Mytilus edulis: one gene and its partner. The protein of the gene in region 1 purifies or fractionates together with the protein of each later gene. This does not show direct contact. Links are inferred from orthologs where the notes say so. Each region holds a gene or a part of one and is shown on either strand. Other genes may lie near its edges.

Region 1 (7,243 bases):
TACGAATATACGGCAGTGTATGGTAATCGAGCCTGAGGAAGCAGATTAAAATCTTAGTTTGTCTTAATATATATATGAATAACATGAATAACATTGCTGTATATACAAATTGACAAGGTTCCCCTCAGTGTAGGATCCAAAAGGGGGTCCCTTTTTATTTACCGATCAGTGCATTTGAATGGGGACACATAGTTTGAACCCCCTTTACCCTGGGTTGGGACCCCCCTTTTTTTTAAATGGCTACATCCGACCGCCCCAGCCCCTTGTGATACGCTATACGCATAAGACTATTTTAAGGATCTACTTTGCTGGAGCTCGCCTTCACTAGTTTGGTCGTAGTATTTTAAAAACAGGTTCTGTTATTTTACTTGCAAGACAAAATAGAAGACAAATCAAAGACGATATAATATCAATGGCTGTAGTCTACATCCATTGGCATTTTTAAAAAGTGCATTTATTATATGTCATTACAAGGAATTCCAGAAATAAAAAAAAAACCTTTTGGCTTTTAGTTAGAGGCTGTGCAGGACACTTTTTTTTTTTTATTATACTTGTTAGGTGTCATTTAATCGCGCTTTTGTTGCATGTTTTCCCCACTTTTTCATGTGCATGTTTTGTTGTATGTTCATTTTAAAAATTATACCCTCTACCGTAAAAAAAGATATATATGGTGAACTCTGTATTTAAAGCACGTCTTATTTTCTCCTACCTATAGGATAATACTCTCATATAAATATGATTTATATCAACACCATTAATCATTTGATACAAAAAAAGTAGTCATACAAATACGGATATTTCTTAGAATTGACGATCATCCTTTAAAAGTTACGGTCATCATTTAGAAATTACGGTCATCCTTTACAAATTACGGTCATCTTTTAACCAATTACGGTCACCCTTGTTTTGAATTGCTGATTCTGTTACGGTCATCTCGATTGTGATTTACGGTCATCTTAGCGATTTTTTTAAATCGAATTTCCCGTTTCATGCACATTTCTCGGAAGTAATTTGTGATTTCCGTGTGAATCTTTTATAAATTTACATCGAATCAATGTCTCCTTTGTAAAGAAAATGATATAGAAACACTGTAACAGACAATACAGATACTGACCTAATTTTTCATCCGACATCTTGGGATGACCGTGAATGCAGTTACGGTCATCAGCTTTACCCCAGTGATAATAAAACATTGTTATCAAGTGAAGGGTTTTACAACTTCAACAATCATCCTTTTACACAAGATTTACCAGCAAAAAAATTGTCAATTGAGGGAAAATCATTTGCCATTTGAAAAATCTTAGCAGAGCAGTATATATACATGTATTCACACAAATAAAATTTACATAATAGTCAAATCAAAAAGATGCACAGAAGATTATTTTAATTAAAAATGAATTTAACACAAGCAACAAACTCTTAAAATATCGGAAAACAAAACTACCAGAACAAAGTCTCAGAAAATTATGAATCTTGTTAAAGTCTTATATAAAAATCAATAATATTTTAATGCATGAAATATCAAATTCCATAAAATTACTCATGCATACAGAAAGGTAAACAATTTCAAAGCATCTGTCAATAATAGATTTACTTTCATTTTCTTGGATGTCATTCAACAATTTAGGGGATTTCCAACATCTATGCTTTTATTATCTACACAAATGAAAATAGATTATCCCAGGACTGAGATTAATTGATTGCTTTATGGTCTTCCCAGCCAATCAGACAAAGGTCACAACAGTCTTGCCTCCAAATTCAAAATTGATTTTTCATTCATGTGATAAAAATGCATGACCAATAAATCCTGGTAATAATGAATGCAATATTTCTTTCTATTTATGTTTTTTATAATTGAGTATAGCTTATCAATAACCGCTTGGAAGAAAAAGTAATTATGAAACTAGATTGATAAGATTATTTACAACTCTGGCGGGCAATACAAACATGATCAATAGATTAGTGTCACATGGCAGTTAATGACTTCCTTTAGTCAAAGTGAAAGTAGATAAATACAACTTACCTGACCCCTATAGGGAGTCCCTGGACCTTGTGGAAAACTGGCTGGTTGTCTATTTCCAGTCCAACCTTGCTGCATGTTATATGGTGTCCCTTGCGCTGTCATTTCGGGTGCCACTTTCTGGTGATATTCACCATAATTATTTCCCTGCATCCTCCCCGGTGTGTTTGGTGTCTGCAGAAGCTGATTTAGTGTTGGTGTTGGTCCAGACTGCTGTGAAATGCTTTGTCCTGACAACATTGATCTTTGTCCTTGTGGATAGGATTGTGGCATTCCTGGACCACCTGGGCCCATTTGTGGCCTCATAGGCATCATGTTCGGTTTGCCTGGATGTCCACTCTTCATTCCAGGCTGCATATACTGAGCCTGAAAAGTATTTTGATTAATAATTTCTGAACTTCCTGCCATTCCGCCATGTTGATCGCCTGGGTTAAAGTTTTCACGATTATACGGATTGTACCCTTGCATTTGCCCTGGATGCATCATTGGGTTCATTCTTCCGTAGTTGTCAACCCCCATCATCTGTTCCCTAGATGATGGAGGATAGTTATTCATATCAACGTTCATGTTAGGCCCTTCAATTTGATTAAAATATTCGCCTTGTTCATTGCTCATGTTTTGTTGGCCTCCATCTTGAAACGAGTCCATTGTGTTTCCCCGTAAATTCTTCGGAGATTTAAGCTTTTTGCTCTTGACTTGTCTAGTATGCCCTTTACCAGGGCCAGCATTTTCCATACTTCACTTACCGAAAAGTTCCTGACCCTCCGGTCGACTCCAGTTGCTTCAGTTTCCTGTCTTTGTTGTATACACAGAAGAGTTTCTTCAGCATAATTCTATTTACCCACCCTTCTAGAGCGAGAAATTGACCGTGACACCTATGAATAATCAACTCACATGTTTCGGGATACTTTTCTTGAATTGCGGTGCGTCCTAATATTGTCAATAAACACGCATGTATCGAACTGAGGCAGATTGCAATAGGGTAAATCTTAGTCAGATGGCAGCATGGTCTTATCAAACAGTGTATTATGTTGTTCTCTTCAATAAGCGGGAATATCGGAAGAGAATAGCGATTCATACGCCTCTATAGGGATCGTGAAAATATTGGTTATGGGTGCTATGTATACTTTAAAAACAATAACAATCATTTCCTGTGTCAAAATATACAATTTGAACACGGAGCATGACTTCTATCAAATTCGGGAATTCTTTTGCGTAAATTGTCCACTGAGCGCAGATATACTAATATTGAGTTGTGAAGCGTCCGAGGCATTTCTTTTCAACACGGCTTGTTCAATTAGCTAATCGTTTCACCTCCCACGTATTGTTTCAAAAAAGTGACAATTTCATAATGGAATGGCTTGATTTTGCATCAAATGTAATTCAAATCCGAATTCAAAATTCAAATAACATCTTTAAAGATTTATTCGAAGCGTTTCTATGGCGTATATATTGTAGAAAACAAAAATTTGACCTTTACTCTGGGGAGATGAACAGAAGAGCATTTGATTGCCTGAAGGCTTTCTATTGACGTCAATCAGACGGGAAAATCTGATATTATTGAGCATGCAAATGTATCTGTTTTCATTTTTTCCTTGACAGTATTGGTGCATAGATCGCATGTAGCAGTTTATTGACTTTGAAAATTTCAAACTAAAGTTAAAATAACGAAGATAAAGTAAAATGTCAGAATTTTCGAACAAAGAATAATTGGTGCAATTTTAGGAGATAAAATCCTATTTGCAATATTTAACCAGGCTGTTCCCGTTATAAAACGTCCACCCTCTGAAATTCTCAAAAATTATTTTGCACGGGAAATAACTCTAGGAAAAATATGTGATCTACCACATGAGAATCATATGACGCTAAGATTTTCTGCCAAAAAATATTGGTTGTATTTAAAAATATTTTTATGAAAAAAGTAAATTAACTCAAATATGTATTCTGGCCAAACGAGAAAAAAACCTCGTATGTAGACATATGTGGTTTAATGTTCAGAATTTAAACAAATTTTGTAAAATTGTAACTGGCTTGTAAATGCAGTTGTAGTGCATACTGGAACCTGCATGTGAATTTGAAATTTAAAAAAAGACTGAAAGACTTTTTTTAAAACTCGACCAACCTTCTGAAAAAAATTGATAGGACAGGAATCAGTATATTAAAATTAATTTCTTCCAATTGAAAGAACTAGTCCAGCTATAAAACATAATTTGGCATTGCATTGAAATATAAGTTGTCATCGAAAAACTTGAAGAACTTGAGAAATCTATTTACTGCATCGGTTCGTGGACACAAGCCTAAACCCTACAAAATGTCATACTTAGAGGAGATTTCAATCTGCCACATCTCAACTAGCAAACAACCCGAATAACCCACAGAATGAAGAAGCTAATCATAATTAAATCTCATATAACTACGACATGAACCAAATAGTAAGTAAACCAACTAAAGGACAAAACACACTAAACCTACTCATGACAACCAATCCACTGAGGACTTATTAGTAAAATCGAAGTAGCAAAGATATGAAAGCCAAACTTCATCAAAAAGAAACCCAGTGTACCTTTTTAAAAAGACCGCTATGATTGGACCCAAAGAAAACTTCCTAGACAATTTTGGGAACTGAATTAACAGCATGGAAGAATACACTGTAGAAGAAAACTGGACATACTTCAAAGAGATCATGTTACAAGCAACTATTTGTATATATAAATAATTCATCATGGGCCTTGGCCCACATATAACTCGGTATAGGTAGAAAACAACATGTGATTTAGATCTCTACACATATCAAAAGACAGACACGAAGCAGACAGCGTAGATACAGTGCTGCTAAAACACAACACCAAGAAAACAAAATGACACAAGTACAAACAGATGAGAGACTTTGTCAAGAAGAGATGAACGAGGCCCACGACAATTATGTTCGATAAATCCTAAATCAAGAGGACGAAGATAACACTTAACCAAACATTGGCAAGAAATTCTGGAAATATATAAAATCAAGCAAAAAGACACAATGGGAATATCATCCCTCCAGAACAACCTCGGAGATCATGACAGCAAAGGAAAACAGAAATATTGAACACTCAATATGATGGTGTCTTCACGACAGAGGATACAAAAAATATACCACATATGGGAACCAGTACAACTCCAAACAATAGGAAGTAACATATCAGATCGGAAAGAGTTGAGAAAAAGTTTAACTTTGACTAATAGACCCAACAAAAGCAAACAGTCTAGATGAACTACCAATCAGAAGCACACTGCGAAATTGCACCGTTCATCACACAAAATTCTATGAACCGTCTTATGACAGTGAAAATGTTTCTGAAGATTTGCGACAAACAAACAAACGCAACCGTTCCTCACACAAAAGTATATGAACCGTCCTATGACAGGGGAAATGTTTCTGGAGATTGGCGACAAACAAATACAACTGTTCATCACACAAAATTCTATGAACCGTCCTATGACAGTGAAAATGTTTCTGAAGATTGACGACAAACAAACACAACCGTTCCCCAAACAAAATTATATGAACAGTCCTATGACAGTGGAAAGTTTCTAAAGATTGTCGACAGGCAAACATCACAGCCATTGACAAACAGGGGAACAGAAGTCAAGCAGTAAACTACCGTCCCGTATCGTTAACCACAATATGTTGTAAATTCATGGAACACATAATCTATATGCACATCATGGAACATCTTGAAGAACATCAAATCTTATCCTACTTCCAACACGGATTCAGACATAACCGATCATGTTAAACCCAACTTATTAACACATAGTAACAGTTGTAAGAGAACTGGACCATCGAGGACAAATAGCATGCTTATTCTTGATTTCTCAAAATCGTTCGATACATTCCCCAACAAAGACTTCTGAAAAAAATGTCACACTAGTGAATAATATATAACACTCTACAATAGATTTCGTCATGGCTAACTCAGCGACACCAGAGAGTATGTCTAGATGGAGAAGCCAGTGAGAACAAATCCGAGTACGATCCGGATTTCTACAGGTCCGGTATTGGAACCACTTTGTTTCCTAATATACACCAACGATAAGACAGAAACAATGTCATTACATCAACCCTCCCTCACCCTCCGTCTCTTTGCTGACGACTTGCTACTACTAATATATAGATCCATTAAAGGTATCGAGGACAACTTACAACTACAACAAGATCTGACAGAACTGACTAAACGGGTGGAGCGGTGGCAAATGACATTCTACCCAGCTATTAAAATGCTACACACTGAGGGTAACAAGAAAAAAAAACCAAACGATAAAAGAGTATGAAATGATGGGACAACAACTATCCACAGTTCACCAATATCCATACCTCGGAGTCGAATTATCAGAAGATCTCAGTTGGGATTCACACATTAAGAACGTTATCACAAAATCCAACCGAGTATTAGGATTCCTAAGACACAAACATCTGGAAGTGTCTACAAGATATCAAAGCGCAGGCATATACATCGCTAGTGCGCCCACATCTTAAATTAAGTACGCCTCTGCAGTATGGGATCCATATCGCGGAATACATCACATTGACTCCCTTGATATGAAAAAAAAGATGACCGACTGCCAGATTTGCGACATCAACATACAGTACCAGGGATAGTTACAAACATCCTGAAAACCCTAGAATGACAAACGCTATAATTTAGACGGAAATCAAGTAGATTGAGCATGTTTTACAAAGCCACACATGGAAAGGCGGCAGTCAACATACCAACATACACGAGAATAAAATTGAGAATGAAAATGAAGAAGGTGTCAAAGGGACAACAACCCGACCATAGAGCAGACAACAGCCGACGTCCACCATGCGATGGGTCTTCAATGCAGCGAGAAACCCCCGCTTCGGAGGCGTCCTTCACCTGGCCCCTAAAAAAATATGTATACTAGTTCAGTGATAATGGACGTCATACTCAACTCCGAATTATACACAAGAAACTAAAATTAATAAGCATACAAGACTAACAAAGGCAAGAGGCTCCTGACTTGGGACAGGCGCAAAAAATGCGGCGGGGTTAAACATGTTTTTTTTTTAGATCTCAAGACCATCTACCTCAATAAAACAATACCATCTAGAACAATTCACTCATATCAGTACCTCCACAGATGCCTACAAATACAGCTATATACAACGCACCATCATCGACTGGCTCTGCCTCTCTGTAATGTGTCAAAGAGCAACTTCTG
Region 2 (7,418 bases), on another chromosome or scaffold:
GAGGAAATTTCTATTACATCAGAAGAAGTCAAAGGAGAACTCTTGTTAGATGAACATTCAGACCACACTTATGCAGCAAAAGAACAGCCATTTGAGAATGAAAAAATATGTACGCTTGAATTTGATTGCCATGCTGATTTTTTTCTTGCACCACTGGAAGGCACAGAGCAACTGATTACACAATACATTTGTAATTGAGATATTTGCAGTGAATGAGACACACAATGAACATGAAGAACCTTGCCTTTCTCCCATTCTCCCTTTCAGACTTTATGCAATTTATTACAAGTTAGCATCAATGATACATGTACATATATCCTTAGCTGTACAGATACAAAATGTACCGAAATTTGCATACAGTTGAACTGTACCAGATCAGTTGCAGGTAAATTAGCACGAAGCTCTCAGTTATCATTGACAGTAACATTATAAGTGAATGTTTGATAATAAAAATATTATTTATACCTGGAATGAGTTTTGTTCTCTTATATCTTAGTTTAATTATTGAAAAAGGATGGAATGATGTGTAGTGATAGTCTAGATATATTGTATACATAAATACTTGTTCTGATTCTCAGTCTGACTGGTCCTTTTCATTTCAGAATAATGGGATGTATGACAGTGTTTTTTTACAGAATGATGTAATTTGGTTTATCCAAAAGCCACACCAAATTAATTGGTTTATATGATTTATAGATGCTTACTGTGGGGGGAAAAACATAACAAACAAAAAACAAACAAAAACATAAAATTGTACGGCTTAAATTGTGATAATGGTGAAATATATTATCATGCCTTTATTATCTTTGTGTCTTTCCAAAGTAAGAAGCCTGTAATTCACTTGTGGTTTGTTGCTGTATATCATATTTGGATTTTTTTTGTACATAAATCGGGCGGTTAGTTTTCTTGTTTGAATTATTAAACCTTTTTCATACATGTAAATAGACCTTGTATAGTTCGCAGTGCAGTATGAATTTTACTCATTGCTAAGAGCCTTATGGTTACCTACAGTTGTTAATGTCTGTATCATTTGGTTTCTTGTGGAGAGTTCAATATTATATTGCATATATATTGTACAGAAAAGAAATGTCATACACTCGCACATCAATATATTAAAAATATCCCATGAACTATTTTCCACTGGACGTTAGGCAACCATCAATTAAATCAGCCTGATCAACAACAAAGGTAGGCGCTTTTTCGTGCAGTTTGTATAAAGTAAAACAAAAAGGTTTTGACTTACAAATCAAGTCAAATAGTTGTAAAACTATTTACACATGTGCATGTCCATTTCAAAACTAAAAGGAGATTTTAACTAGTCCAAAAGTTAAAAAGAAGGGAAACGTGTACATTTCGAAACGTTTAGATATCAATGTGGCATTAAAACTGGTGTATGCTTTGAAGTCAACTTACCAAGCTGACAGAAGTATAACATAGTAAAATGTTTCGTCTTACAAAAATTGTTCATGAAAAGGCAGCAATACCTGCTGCTCTGAGTCTTTATCGTATATTTATCAGTTCCTTACACTTAAAATATGGTTTAATCTCTTTCTATTCGAGGTCAAAAGTGAGACTTATATTGCCATTTTCTATTAAATGATCATTAAATGTAAGTCCTTAATACACAATCCGTGAAAAGGAGAAACCATAAATAAAAATCATAAAAAAAACTCAATGCAAGCTCATAATGTAAATTTTGAAAAAAAACACACTTAGAAAACAATTTACCGACAATCATAGAAAAAAACTTAATACAAGCCCAATTAATAATGAACACAATAAGTATTCAATTTTTAATGATCTATACAAATTATTAATATAAGACGAAGTCGATCATGATTAACGATAAACAAACAAATTATTTTTTTCTACACATTAATTAATTTAATATATTTTGTAAATAGTATTTTCGGAAATAGTGTGGACACCTGTGGTGTAACAACTTCTTGTGTACCAGGTGTCAAATAAAACTCTTCAGTTTTAACAGGTTGTGATTTACCTGAATAATTCAAGCCTAATATACATGTTACACTGTGAAATTATGTCTCCGAGACAGGTGTATATTTAATAGAAACCCATTGTGAAAGTATCAAATAAAATGAACTCTGATACAATTTATTAAGTGTTAATTATTTAATATTGTTTTTTTTTTTTACTTCAATATCAAATTATGTCTCTTTTTCAATAATACAAATAAAAATTAAAAGGACATTGAAATAAATAATTATGAATGTATGAACTCAAATTATTTAATTAATTATGTTAAATTTAACACTGAAACAGTTAATTTATGCTTAAACATTCACCATTACCTCGAGTACTTTTAATACTTTGATAATAACTCTATTACCCAAAGAGATCTCGCGAGGTTTAAATGTGGCCGTGTGATATTACGCGATTTCGCCGAGTTGCCAATCTCTTGTATTATATGTCTCTGAACTCACTACCTGAAGCAATAGGTATGTCAGACACCCTGGAATCCTTCAAAAGTGGCATATCCACTCTAACATTTGAAGGATCCACAGCAACTTATTAAACTTTAAAGCCACTGTACATAATGTATATATGTTATTGATAACGATTTTTCTTGTCATATTATTTTTAAATTAAGTCCATATGTACATAGCACACAAGTTCCGGGAAGTTTTACACTCCTACCTAGGAGTCTACTCCCGTATTCGGAAGAAGAAGAAGGTTACGTGAAACAATGGAAGATTTTTTTTTCTGACAGTTTTTTGTTTTCAAGACTGTCACGGCTTACCTTTTGAATTTGTGCTTGATTGGGTTGACCTTTCTTCTGCTGCGGTTGAACAAATGCTAGTGACATGATAATTATACCAAAAAGAGAGGTCAGGGAGCTTTGTCAATTTTTTCCTTAAAATTTTTAACCGCGTCAAACTGGTCCGCAGTAAATAGAAATCTAAAAGTAATTTTAGGAAGCCAAGACGGGATTATTTCGAAAAGAAATTCCGTAAATCTATAATACTAAAATTACGAGGTCCAATTTGTCAGCCGTCATCACGTAAAAACGACGAATCAAAGAATTCAACTTTATATAACTTATATAGTACAAAGGTGTAGATTAATGGTCAGAAACATTCCCAGTAAATTCACATTTCTTAATATTGATTCCTTAAAAGTTTCTTGAAAGAGTATATAGTCAATTGCAGTACAATCACTCCCATTAGCGCTAATGAATGTTTTTCCAATATCTTTTGTACTTAGACAGTGTTCGTCTATAAATGACACTATATATTTCTGTCTTATCGAATCATTGGATCCAAAGATTTCCTCATTAAAGTCACCACCTATTATTATTTGGTGTGTTAGTTCATAGGTTGTCAATATTTCATTCAATAGATCTATACATTCTTGAAATTCTGTTTGACTATTTGTTGAACCTTTACAAGGTAAATATACAGAAATGACTATTAAATTTGGGTCACCTTTGATCTCACTGCATTGTATTCGATTATTCCCTATATTGACAGTGGAGTGACTATGGAGTCAAGATTTTTCTTCCAAAGTATAGCCGTCCCACCATAGCCTCTTGGCATTCTCCATGGAGTAATTGGGTCACTGGAGTCTACTGCTTTACCAACACCCTTATAATCTAGCAGAATGTCATTCAACATCTTTAACTGACAGTGGAAGAGCCAGTGTTCTTGAAGTAGATAAATGTCAATAGAGTCTTTTAATTCATCAAATAGTGGACCACAGGTTAAAATGTTTTTACAGTTAAAATTTATAATCTTTAATACATATTTACAGTTTTTAGCCTTCTCTCCTATGGGTCTAGGTTTTATTGTTATATTTTTGGACGGACGAGGCTGTGTTGGTATAAAAAATGCATGTCACTATTGTTTATTTCATAGCTTATGGGTTCACCTTCGAGGGAGATGTGGAACCAGTTGGGATCACTTTTTCCTATACTCTGTTGATTGTTAACCACTTCTTTATCATTCCTGTATGATTCATTTGAGTGTGAAAGTTTGGTGTTGTTAACTTTCTTTTGTTCAGTTGGAAGTATTTCAATTAAGTTTTCTTTACATATGTTTCTATCATCGTTGAGGTCAGGGTGAAAGTTAACTGAGTGATTAATTTCTATATCTTGTTCCCTGTTTTGAATGTAATCATATTGGTAGTAAGCATTTGAGTATTGATGACTTGGTAGCACATGAGATGTATTGTGAAAAACAGGTTGGTCATAAGATGAAAATTGATGATTTGGTCGTTGAGTTGTAACGTATGGTTGATTTGAATGCTGATTTGGAGAGTATTGATGTGGTTGCATAAATGATTTTTGCTGATGAAACGATTGTTGACTTGGATCAAACTGTTCAGAATTCGAGGATCTATTACAGCGGTTGTTGAGAAGTTTGTTGAGTTCTTCATCTACTTTACCAAGTACATAGTTGGTGACTAATTCATCGGATCGGGAATGAAACGTGAAATATATACGGAAATTATCGATAATATAGGGATTTCGTGTAGAACGAGTGAAGAGTATGAAAAATAATATTTTCAAATTGTATTTATTAAATAATGATACATAATAAACATTGCAAAAATTAAATGCACAATGATGGAAAATGAAACTGTACATTCCCTGTAAAAGAAAACATGATAGAAATTAATACTATTATAAAATTTAAATGAAAATTTTAAGAATAAAATTTTAATAATTTAAAAAAATACCCATATGATATTTTAAGATAATCTTTTAGTAAAATGTAAAACAGAAACTGAAATTTTAAAATATATAAAAATTCTAAAATTTAAGCTTGAGTTTATAAAAATTAAAGAAGCAAGTAATGATATCAATTTAAACCAATTATAAAAGATTCATGTAACTAATTAAGGTTTTGTCCATCTTTAGTTACGCCAAGTTTAATGTGGAACTGAGGACATTCCATTTGGAAAGTACCGAAATTAGACATATCCTTAATATCACGAACGATTTACAATACAAAAACTATAAGTAATCGACATTATAAAAAAACTTAAATGAAAGGCGTGGCAAATTCGATTAAAAACTACAATTTAAAACAACAAATACCTTGTATTAGGCCTTTTTTCTTGTCGAATTTGTTTGGAATTGCTTCCCACCATGAATGCAGGAAAAATTTATTCTGTTGTACTTTAAATCTTTAAATTTTGTGCTCCGGGTTCTTCTTTCTTTTCTCTGCGGCTTCTATAAATTCTTATATACAATTGTATGAAATATATATGTGTATATTTATGAAAATTCTGAGTAGTTTTAATCAATTTATTCACTAATTGCAACAAATTCCGTATATATTTCACGTTTCATTCCCGATCCGACGGCATTTTATTATAAAACCAGATGTGGGTACGCCTTAAAAATTACATCACTCCAGGCCCTTTTGTTTTCCACGTAATTAAATATTGCCAATAATTAAGAAGTTCCGGGTTGAGTCCGATACCGATACCAATAGTATATTCACCTGTTACCTATTACCTTATTTGTACGTTCCGCATCTGACAGGCGCACCACCAAACGGTGTATTCAGGATTAATATGCTATATACACGGGTCATATTCACAGGGTTGACACTACTAGATTGTCAAATTGTTACCTATTGTAGCATTTTAATCAGTAAAACTTTCTAAGATAACAATACAAATACTAAAAATCTGGACTAAAATAAGGCGTATAGGTACGGCAGTTTTCAATTTGTTAGCGGGCATGACGTAAAACAGCGAATCAAAGAATTCAACTTTATAACTAATATAGGACAATGCTGTTGATTTAAAAATATTCCATTCCAGGACCTTTTGTTTTCCAACTAATTAATACTACCAATAATTGATAAGTTCGAGTTCGACGGATTCAAACAGAAAGATTTGAAAGCAGAGAAAACTGCGTATCTTATAATCGGCATGACATTATCAGATGACAATACTAATATTAAAATAAGGCTTGCGCATAGTTATATACTTTAATTGAGTCACGGACCCGCGATATCACGGGTGTGTTCTAGTGTTTCTAGAGAATCCCCATGGATCCGCCAATGGGAGGGGTGTTATAAAACACACAGATATTTAAAAAAGGATATTTGATACATAGAAAAAAAATACACTTTTTATACTTTGAGGACTGAGCGAACCAGGTGAGTGTGTGAGTTGGTATGTTTTATTTTGTTATATTGTATTATGTTTAGGGAAGGTTAACTTTCTGGTAATAAGACCCGTCACGGCCTGGCTGGGGAATTGGGTAGGCAAATGCTCATATTAATCTGTACCGATACAGGCTCCAAATGCTTTCTTTATACGCCATAACTCATGGTGGTGATCCTTATAAAGGATGCTTATACGGAGACAAGAAGAAGAAGAAGAAGTTAATATCCCCGAATGCTAAAAAAATATTATTCTTTCCAGGACTAAATTACGCACCTCAAATTTATTTCCAAATATTTTTTTTGTATTTGTCTTTGTATTTATATATATAGGCCACGCTGCGCGCGCAAACAGTAAATAATTTTCAGATCATTGAAGGACTACTGAAAACCTAAAGAAAGAAAGAATGAAAGAAAAAAAGGACACCGGGAACAAAAATTTGTTCCCTATAAGTGGACAACTCGAACGTATATAGTCCAAAAATAAACATCACTGATGTTCAAAAGGTGTGTGTCTTTGCCTTTCTATTGTTTTGTACTGTACATCAACATTAATGAAAACTAACAAAAAGGCTATAAAAGTTTTTTCAGGGGATTTTTAGGTACATTGATATGAACGTTACAAATCCAAAAAAAAAAAGGGGGGGGGGGACTCATGTTGGATAGAATGCATTCCAAAGAGCTTGAGAATCGGTATATTCTAAGAAGTTACCGTGAAAATACATAAATAATCATGACTGAGTCTCAAGTTAACTTTGATTTCAATCAAAAAAAAAAAATGAAATAAAAAAAATTATTACAGATAGAAATATGTAACGTAAAAGTTCGATAACAGTATTTCTCGGGAAATCGTGGTACCAATGGAAAGCCGCCGAATACAGCAATGCGTGTTTGCAAGATGTATAGACCATTAAGAATTCAAGTTTAAACGGATTGGTATTCTTAAAATTCATTAGGTAAAAAAGTGTTGGAAAAAGGGGGGGGGGGGTAATTAAGTTGTTGCAGTAGATTTACATTGTCCTATGCTATACCTTGCACCACTGAGATATATATTTTTTAAAGAGATTTAAACAGTTTATGTTCTTTACCGGATTATCTGACCACCCAATATTGAAACCCCATTATTTACTGACTTTTTTGTCAATCAAAGGTTTTATATAATTTCATTATTTTCTAATACTGTGTCGAATAAAATCATGCATGGGTCACCGATGCTGTATTAAAATTCGAATGTCGTCAGGGGCGTAGCTAGAATGACACGATGTGCAAGGAACTACC

Evidence for each region.
Region 2: the proteins of trithorax group protein osa-like (region 1) and protein SSXT-like purify together in Homo sapiens (affinity purification with mass spectrometry; 7 studies listed by BioGRID and IntAct, counting the BioPlex papers as one, with this or other methods). This does not show direct contact. The link is inferred for Mytilus edulis from reciprocal best matches to the Homo sapiens genes ARID1A and SS18.

Annotation. Positions count from the first base shown.
Region 1 is NC_092353.1:43,285,176-43,292,418, forward strand, and holds the start of trithorax group protein osa-like, read right to left. Parts: upstream 3,106-7,243; 5' UTR 2,756-3,105; coding exon 2,024-2,755; intron 1-2,023. UniProt on the Homo sapiens protein: Involved in transcriptional activation and repression of select genes by chromatin remodeling (alteration of DNA-nucleosome topology).
Region 2 is NC_092348.1:25,284,169-25,291,586, forward strand, and holds the start of protein SSXT-like, read right to left. Parts: upstream 3,087-7,418; 5' UTR 2,828-3,086; coding exon 2,762-2,827; intron 1-2,761. UniProt on the Homo sapiens protein: Appears to function synergistically with RBM14 as a transcriptional coactivator. Isoform 1 and isoform 2 function in nuclear receptor coactivation. Isoform 1 and isoform 2 function in general transcriptional coactivation.